Linked DNA regions of Drosophila melanogaster. The protein of the gene in region 2 purifies or fractionates together with the protein of the main gene of each other region. This does not show direct contact. Each region holds a gene or a part of one and is shown on either strand. Other genes may lie near its edges.

The links.
Region 1: the proteins of h-cup (region 2) and Slmap purify together in Drosophila melanogaster (affinity purification with mass spectrometry, with the first as the bait; one large-scale study listed by BioGRID). This does not show direct contact.

Annotation. Positions count from the first base shown.
Region 1 is NT_033779.5:22,576,963-22,580,891, reverse strand, and holds the start of Slmap (sarcolemma associated protein), read right to left. Parts: upstream 1,821-3,929; 5' UTR 1,640-1,820; intron 1,143-1,639; exon of another isoform or gene 1,072-1,142; 5' UTR 1,052-1,071; coding exon 1-1,051.
Region 2 is NT_033777.3:15,380,761-15,384,689, forward strand, and holds h-cup (heineken-cup), read right to left. Parts: upstream 2,192-3,929; 5' UTR 2,110-2,191; coding exon 1,339-2,109; 3' UTR 1,122-1,338; coding exon of another isoform or gene 894-1,121; 3' UTR 835-893; coding exon of another isoform or gene 736-834; 3' UTR 647-735; downstream 1-646. Other genes in the region: Rbp (RIM-binding protein), read left to right, coding at 403-568, 736-834, 894-1,121, 2,307-2,430, 2,497-2,975.

The DNA.
Region 1 (3,929 bases), on a different chromosome or scaffold from region 2:
GGTTAGGCACAGTCAACATCATCTGCTCTGCCTCAACTGAAATGGCCTCTTGTCCATTGGGTAGAAAGAGGGCGACACGGGCCAGGATACACCCGTGTACCTCCTGACGTGAATTCTCAATTACCTCAACGCCGAACTTCACAATATCGCCATAATGTAGTTCCGCTGGATCACTACCCAACTTGTTGTCGTTAATAAAGGTACCGTTGCTGGATTTTGTGTCTTTGACCCAGAATTTACCGTCTGGAGTGTACCACAAAATCGCATGGTTTCTTGACAATACTTTACAGTCAAATATAGCGTTCCCCTCACCCGCCTTACTTTTAGCTATAAGGCGGCCCACCTTGCAATCCTGGTTGGGCTGCAGCAATATAGATCTCGTTTCAAACTTGTGCGACTTTGGTTCACATAGGAGTACGATTTTTGCTGCACCCTTACATGGCGTTGGGGCAGACTCCAATCCTATGTCTAGATCTACGCCAGAAGTTGGGGGCACTGAAGAGACTTGTAAAGTGCCGCATTCCGATGCCACCTCCCTTTGTAAAGCACTATTGTTTAGTACTCCTAGTGGGCTAAACAGACTGCAGGCAGTAGTTACTCGAACTCCAACCCCGGTGTTATTTGCATTCAGCACAGAGTTCATGGCCATATTCATAGCATGCTGGGAAACTTCAGCCGGACGTCGGTCAATACATACTGTGTTGGAATCACAAAGTTCCATATTATTATTTTCCTGGTTCTTCGTGGACGCCTCGTTGTTACTATCAGCCATATCTTCTTTTATGTCCATTATATGAAAGAAATTGTCCTGCTCCAAATTTTTTTCAGTTTCCATGTTTAAAGCGTATTGCGCCTCCTCTGGCTTCACAGCAGGTTCTTCCCCGGATGGATATCTGGTCGTCTGAGGTAATTCCGTGGCCGTGTCGGTTGTGCCAGTTCTGTTTAATGCCGTTGATCCGACTGCTCCTGATGCTGGCGTCGGCGATAATGAACTTGACGTCTGGTCTTCATCAACATTATTTTTTAACCACTCATTGCACACCAAGACCATTACTTTACATCCAAACAAACCTTTGGGGATACGAGAACAAAAGCGGATTAACAAGTTAGTAATTAGTAATACACGAGTGGCTGCTGTTTGACAAATCCGACTAGCCGAAACATTGACAATGAATCCAAATTTTAAAGGCCTGCTTTAATTTAATGTAACTATAAAATTTGTCTTTTCCCGATGAAAATTTGAAAAGGTTTCCGACCACATAAGATATACACACATATGTAAATGCATACATACATACATACATACATACAGAATGAATTTGCATTTGATACAAAAATATGTACGTTCAATAGCAATGTTTTCAAGAATTATTGTAAACAAAAAACTATGCCATTAGTTGGTCATTCTTATGAATTAAGCAATTTTCGAGTTAAGGATGTGCCGATTAATTACGACAACTTAAACCAGGCATTAAAAATGTTTGGAACGGTTGGAAATTGTTTACTTTTTTGATTTAAAAATAAATTATATGGTACGGGGAGGACCGCTTAAGTTCAAGAACATTAAATTCGCAATAATATAAATGTTTGATATTGCGCAACGTTTTTACCTTTATTTTACAATGCACGCTTGGCTTACCTTGGAATTTTGTAATTTTCCTGTATTAATTGTTGCAACCTTCTACCCGTGTTTTTTAGTTTTCTTTAACTTTGAACAATTGTTGTACAAAAACACCTGGTTTCGCGGTAAATTTGTGTGCATACTTAAAATATTTCCGTCAAAATAGCGACAATCAACTGGTGATGAACACGGAACGATGAAAAAAGCGCTAAGCATTATTGTATATAATAATATACAATATACCAGTTTATATACCATATACCAGTTTCTATGTTGACATGCAACGATAGAACCATTCCATTCTGCAATTTCATTTCCAATAAATACAAACAATAATTTTCTAAAATTTTTATAAGAAATAAGATTTAAGAATTTTAAAATGTTTTAGAGCAATGTCGTATGCTAGAAAGGTTAAGAGTATGTTTGTAGTCGGCATACAAATGTTCTGCAATTACATTTCCAATAAAAAGAAACAAATAATTTTCTAAAATTGTTATAATAAGAAAGGAGATTTCGGAATTTTAAAATGTTTTAGAGCAATGTCGTATGCTAGAAAGGTTAAGGGTATGTTTGTAGTCGGCATAAAAATGTGTTTCCGAACCTTAAAGTATAGTGTACTCCTGATCATAAACACTATTCGATCAGGTCCGGTCTGTCTGACTGAAGGCTGTGATCTCGCAAACTACAAAATAGAGCTGGAAGAAACATCGGAGATAGCGCTACATAGATATTTAAAAAAAAATCGGAAACATCGAAATTTTCGGACATCGATGTTAGATTTTTCTGTTTTACCCATCACCATTTGCAGGGAAAGATCTTGCTAAGCTAATCGGCTAATGGCAAGACAGACAAATGTATTAAGTGGGGCAAGACACCAAACAAGTGCGAATAATACTAACTTGTCTTGCCACGTAATGAGGATACATATTAATTTAACAGTCAGTGAATTGCCACAAAGGCAACAGCAGTCAATTCTGTCATTTATTGACAAAATAATGAAACGTTGACGAATCGAAAACAAGTGCTCTACGCTACTACATTGGCTCAGACTTGCGCGGATTCGGATTTCGACGAAACAACTTATTTTTCTGAAAACATTGCAAACTTAATCCGCACAGTAATTGATGAACGCCCATATAGTTTGAAACAATAGAAATAGGTTATAGAAAATAAAATATATATGTATAGAAAATCCAGTTGGAATGGCGCGTTTTACCTGCTGAAACGATTTTTGATTACAAAGGTTGCTATCGCAACTGTTCTACTGAACCAAAGTCTCTAGAATAATAAAGAATTATTGTAGTGTCTTTGACTGAACACTCTCAAAGGGTTGGTTATTGCCGTAAATATCGAATAAAATATTCATTTTCGAGGATTTGAAGGCAATACTTTAACCTTTAGAGCATGCAACGGTTAAAGTTTACAAATTGTTCAAAATTGTGGGCGTGACCGGGTTGACGGCTTTTGGTCGTTAGAGTAGGCGTGTAAAAAGTTTTTGGCATATCGATATAAATTTTAGCGACTAATAGAATTATGAAAAAAATATCGAAAAAAGGTTTAAAAATGTGTGTTTTGCGCGGCATTTTTGGGAGGTTTTAGGGCGTTAGAGTGGGGCTGGCAGGTTTGTGTGCGTGGCAACATGGGTCAACCAACTTGCGCTGCGTCTTTTTCTGTGTTCTAGCTTTTTAAAATTCCTGGGATCTCGACGTTCATACGGAGAGAGGCCAGATAGACTCGGCTATTGATCCTGATCTAGAATATTTACACTTTATATGGTCGGAAACGCTTCCTTCTGCCTGACATACTTTTCAACGAATCTAGTATAACCTTTTACTTTATGAGTAACGGGTATAATGAGTGCATATCTTAATTATAGTTTGCAGCTTTATCGATGTTTGTTTTATTTTCTTTTAAATTGAATTCATTTTTCATTATAATTTTTGTGTTTGACGAGAAAGTAGTTTTAAGTTTCATTTTGATTTTCAGGCAATAAAAACACCAAAGTATGAATTTTAAATTTATAAAGAACTTTTACCCATTTTGATTTAGTTTTGGTATTCATTTTTAATATGATAATGACTAAAATACATTAAAAAACACCCTTAAAAATTTCGATGTATTGATACATCGATGGAGGTAAACATCAATGTTTTTCCAGCTCTACAAGACAGCTAAAATACGGGATTATCGATACTGTCGCCGTTCGAGTGGATTTGCCTTCAACGGCTACTCTCCTTGGATCCCGAAGGAAAGGAAAGACTCTTCCTGGCAGTAGTAGTGTGGCGCCCAGACTGAAGCCCGGTCTGGC
Region 2 (3,929 bases):
AACGACAGCTTGTGCTGCAAACTATGAAATTAAGATAAGCGTTTGAATGAGCCGAGCCGACCAATATAAGATTTTGTAGGCTGTGCGTGGACAATAAATACGGTCAGGCAGGCAATTAACCCAAAGTTCAAAGTTCGCAACAATCCAAACACACACACGTACACGTACACGCACACACACTGAACCCCAAGGACACGTGCGTGCCAGGCAGCTGACCTATTTCCACATTCGCCAGGCAGCAGGCACCAGCCATCAGGCGCATGAATAAATAAGGGATAATAAAAGCAGCAACTAGTTATAGCTGCCAAGTCCTGCAGTCTTTGCCCAGCGGCAGTTCGTCCATTCGTCGTGCTGCAGATTCACTGACCCCATTCTCATGTGCGATTATCGCTTCCATTGCAGTCGTCCGAGGGGCAGCCACAGCATGCCGTACGAGTCGATGCACCATCATCAGTCGGCGGCCGCTGCCGTGGCCGCTGGCACCACCCCCAACGGAATGCTGGACGCCCTCAGCCTGCAGCTGCGCGATGCCGAGATGCGGCGCACGGAGATCGAGCGGGCGCATCAGGTGAGTGTCCTTCCAGGTACCGTGAACTCATGCACATATTAATGGAATTTCAGATGAAAAACTATGGTACTATAGTTTGATTTTAAGAACAGTATATTGCAATTGTATTGTTATAGGATTTATAGAACATTTTGTTTATCTGTATTTATATATATATGCTATCCTAGGAAACCCTGGCACAAATACGCAATCTGAGCGGTAGCGCTCGTCCCGATGCCGAGGCGGTGGAGAATCTGCAGTCGAGAGCCCGGGAACTGGAAAAGAAGGTGACTATATGCCCTCAAATCATATCTACTCAATCGTATTGAACTCTAAAAATCCATAGGTTGCGCTGGAAAATGTGCGCTGCGAGGAGCTGCAAATCGAACTGACGTCGGCTCTGAAGGCCAAACAGGCATCCCGCTCGGCCTGCTCCGGAATGGGGAGCGTGTCCTCCGGTGGCGGCGCGACCATTCCTACATCGGCCAGCAGCTCCACCGTCACTTGGGCACCGACAATCAGCCACCAGGACCAAGGATCCGAGATTGATATCATAATGGCAAAGATTGAGCAGGTATTTAAGTGCAACTAATCTCCTAGGAGTGCAAATGGTATATAGATCTTTATGAAAGAACAGCAACAGCTAACAGACAGCTAGTAGTGTGTGGATAGTGTAGCCTCGAATGAAATTATATTTCGGGTACCAAGTACCAAGTATTCAATCAACGTAAACAGCCAGTGTTGCAGTGGGGCAGGAACGTGTGTTGTGCCTATTCGTCCATGTTGTAGGTCTACTCCTCGGGCTTCTCGGCCAGAGCCTCCTCAATAAAGCAAGTGACTTCCAGCTCACTCAGCAGCGAATTGTTGGATGAGCACTCCGAATCATCCTCCACGCTGCTCGGCGAAAGGCAGGAGAGGAAGCTATCTATGCTGTAGATGCTATTCTCCCGGGTGGCACTCGAATCCAAAGAATCGTTTGGTCCGATCTGAGTGCTACTTTCGCTGGAGCTCAGTGCTCCCTGGCGGAACAGCTCATCGGTGGTACTGATCTGCAACTGACGACGCAACTGCTCATTTTCATCAGTCAGCTGGCAAATGATCTGCTGGTTCTCGGCACTGCTCCGGTCCTCGAAGTCGACAGTTAGCTTCATCACATCAACCATACGCTCGATGCGGGCATCCTGCTCTTCGACCACCTTCGACAAACCGGCCAGGTAGTGCTCCCTCAGTTGGTAGGTATCGATTAACATGTCCCCTTCGCTGTGCTCACGGTACTTCTCCATGATCAGCTCAATGCCGTGTTGGAACTCAACGCCGGTCGCCTTGAGCTCGATGTTTTCCCGCAGCAACTGCATCTGCTCGTCGTCGTCGTTCTTCTCCGTCAGATGCTTCAGCAGCTGATCCTCGCGAAACTTGTGGCAGTTGGCCAACTCCTGATCCACCATTTTAGCATCGATTAGCAGCTCATCGGTCTTGAACTCCAGTTCGTCCAGGCATTTGGCAAAGTCCTTGTACTCCTTGATAAGACCGCTTTCGGCTCCGGATGGCACCGAGCTATCCATCCGTCCAATCTGGTTTGGATTGCTCACGTTGAATTTGGATTTTTTTCTATACAAAATTGTCTACTTCGGACTTCTCAGGGCAGTTGGGGAAATAATAGATCAATGCTAAAGTAATAGCCTATTAAGATGTACATTCAAGTTCTCTAGAGAATTGTCATTTTACTACAAATCTATCTATCCTTATTGCCTAATTGCAGGATAATCGCGTGCTGGCCGAGCTGGAACAACCTCGCACCTCGGCCAGCGCCAGCATGTCAGCATTGCCGCCCAGTTCCATGTTGAGCACGGTAAATAGCGAATTTAGAACCATATCAAAGAGTGGTAAGCAAGCCAGAGATAACACTAATACAGAAATAGAATATAGAATGGAATTTGTAATGCCCGCAGAACTCGAAGAAGAACTGAACCGCTACAAAAGAGCAGTTCTGGGAGGAAGCGGAGGAGGAGGAGGTGGCGTCGGCGGCGGCGGCGGCGGTGTCTCCGCCCTATCCTCCGGCTACTCAAGCCTGCCGCAATCGCTGGCCTCCACGCTGCCCAATGGTGGGGCCAGCACCAGCTTGAGCGGCACCAGTCTTGGCTCGCACAGCGCGGCCGCCGCTGCTGCCGCCCACAGCGTCTCCGCTGGATCGGGAGGCGTGGTCGGGGGCGGCGGCCAAGGCGGCCTATCATCCATATCGGCCCTGGTGCCCAACTCAATCAGCGGCATATCCTCGAGTCTAAGCAGCCATGCCATTCAATCGATGCAGTACGGAACCGGACAGACGTCCGTGGAGAAACTGCTGAGCGGAACTAGTGGAATCACTGGCATTCCACCCCTGCCGGTAAATATTCACACGATGAAGGCTATGCCAACGGCATTAAGTCAGGTAAACCACCTATTTTCAATCGCAATGAACTACGAACAACAACAGCAACCACAGCAATTATGTACCGCTGCCGATCGATTTGCTTAAAAGCTTGCCACATCTAGAAAGTGCTATATATATGCGTTATAAGTTGTATGTAAATTCGATCCGTTTGAGTAGCCATATAGCCTAGCCATATAGCATATAGCATATATAGCGACCATCCGCTTCTGTTGATCGTCGCTGCTGCAGCCACCGGCCGTTTGTTGTAGTCTCATTACTGATGAAAATAAATACATTCACATCGAAAGCCACCCACCGAATATCACATTACACTGAATCACAAACACAACCATTTAAAAACTAAATCGTTTGAGTATCTGTATTCGACCTTTGATTGCCTGTTACATAAGTATTCTCTGTATCATTGAAATCAAATTCGCTGGCATGCTATAAAATTTCATTGTAAATCACTCGTATCGAGGATGGTATTAGTTATAAATGTCACTAATATTATTCAAATGTATATTCATATATCATTGGTCATGCACAAATCGAAGAACTGCTTCTTATACTCAGTTCATTTCTTGCAAGCTAATCAAATAGTTTTGAAGCATTCCTTCGAAGTTCATATATTGTTAAACTGATTGTACACAACCTAGCTCATGCATCTGCTGCATTTACAGACATATACATACTTACTAAGTTTATATCTCTTGAAGGAGTTACATGTTTGAAAGCTTTCCGTTACTCGTTGATAAACTTTTTAATGGTGATGATTGGATGCTAGCCGTGTTGCATAACCACGAATCCTCGCTTGGAGACGGCTTAAGTTAATTGCAGATTCAATAGGCACTCATGACCAGCCGAAAATCACCACCAACATGCTCAGTTGTTCATGCATAGATGTCCATTTAAGACGTTCTAGATGCCTTTTTCCAATGGCAGCTGAATAAACGTGTATCTGTGATCTCT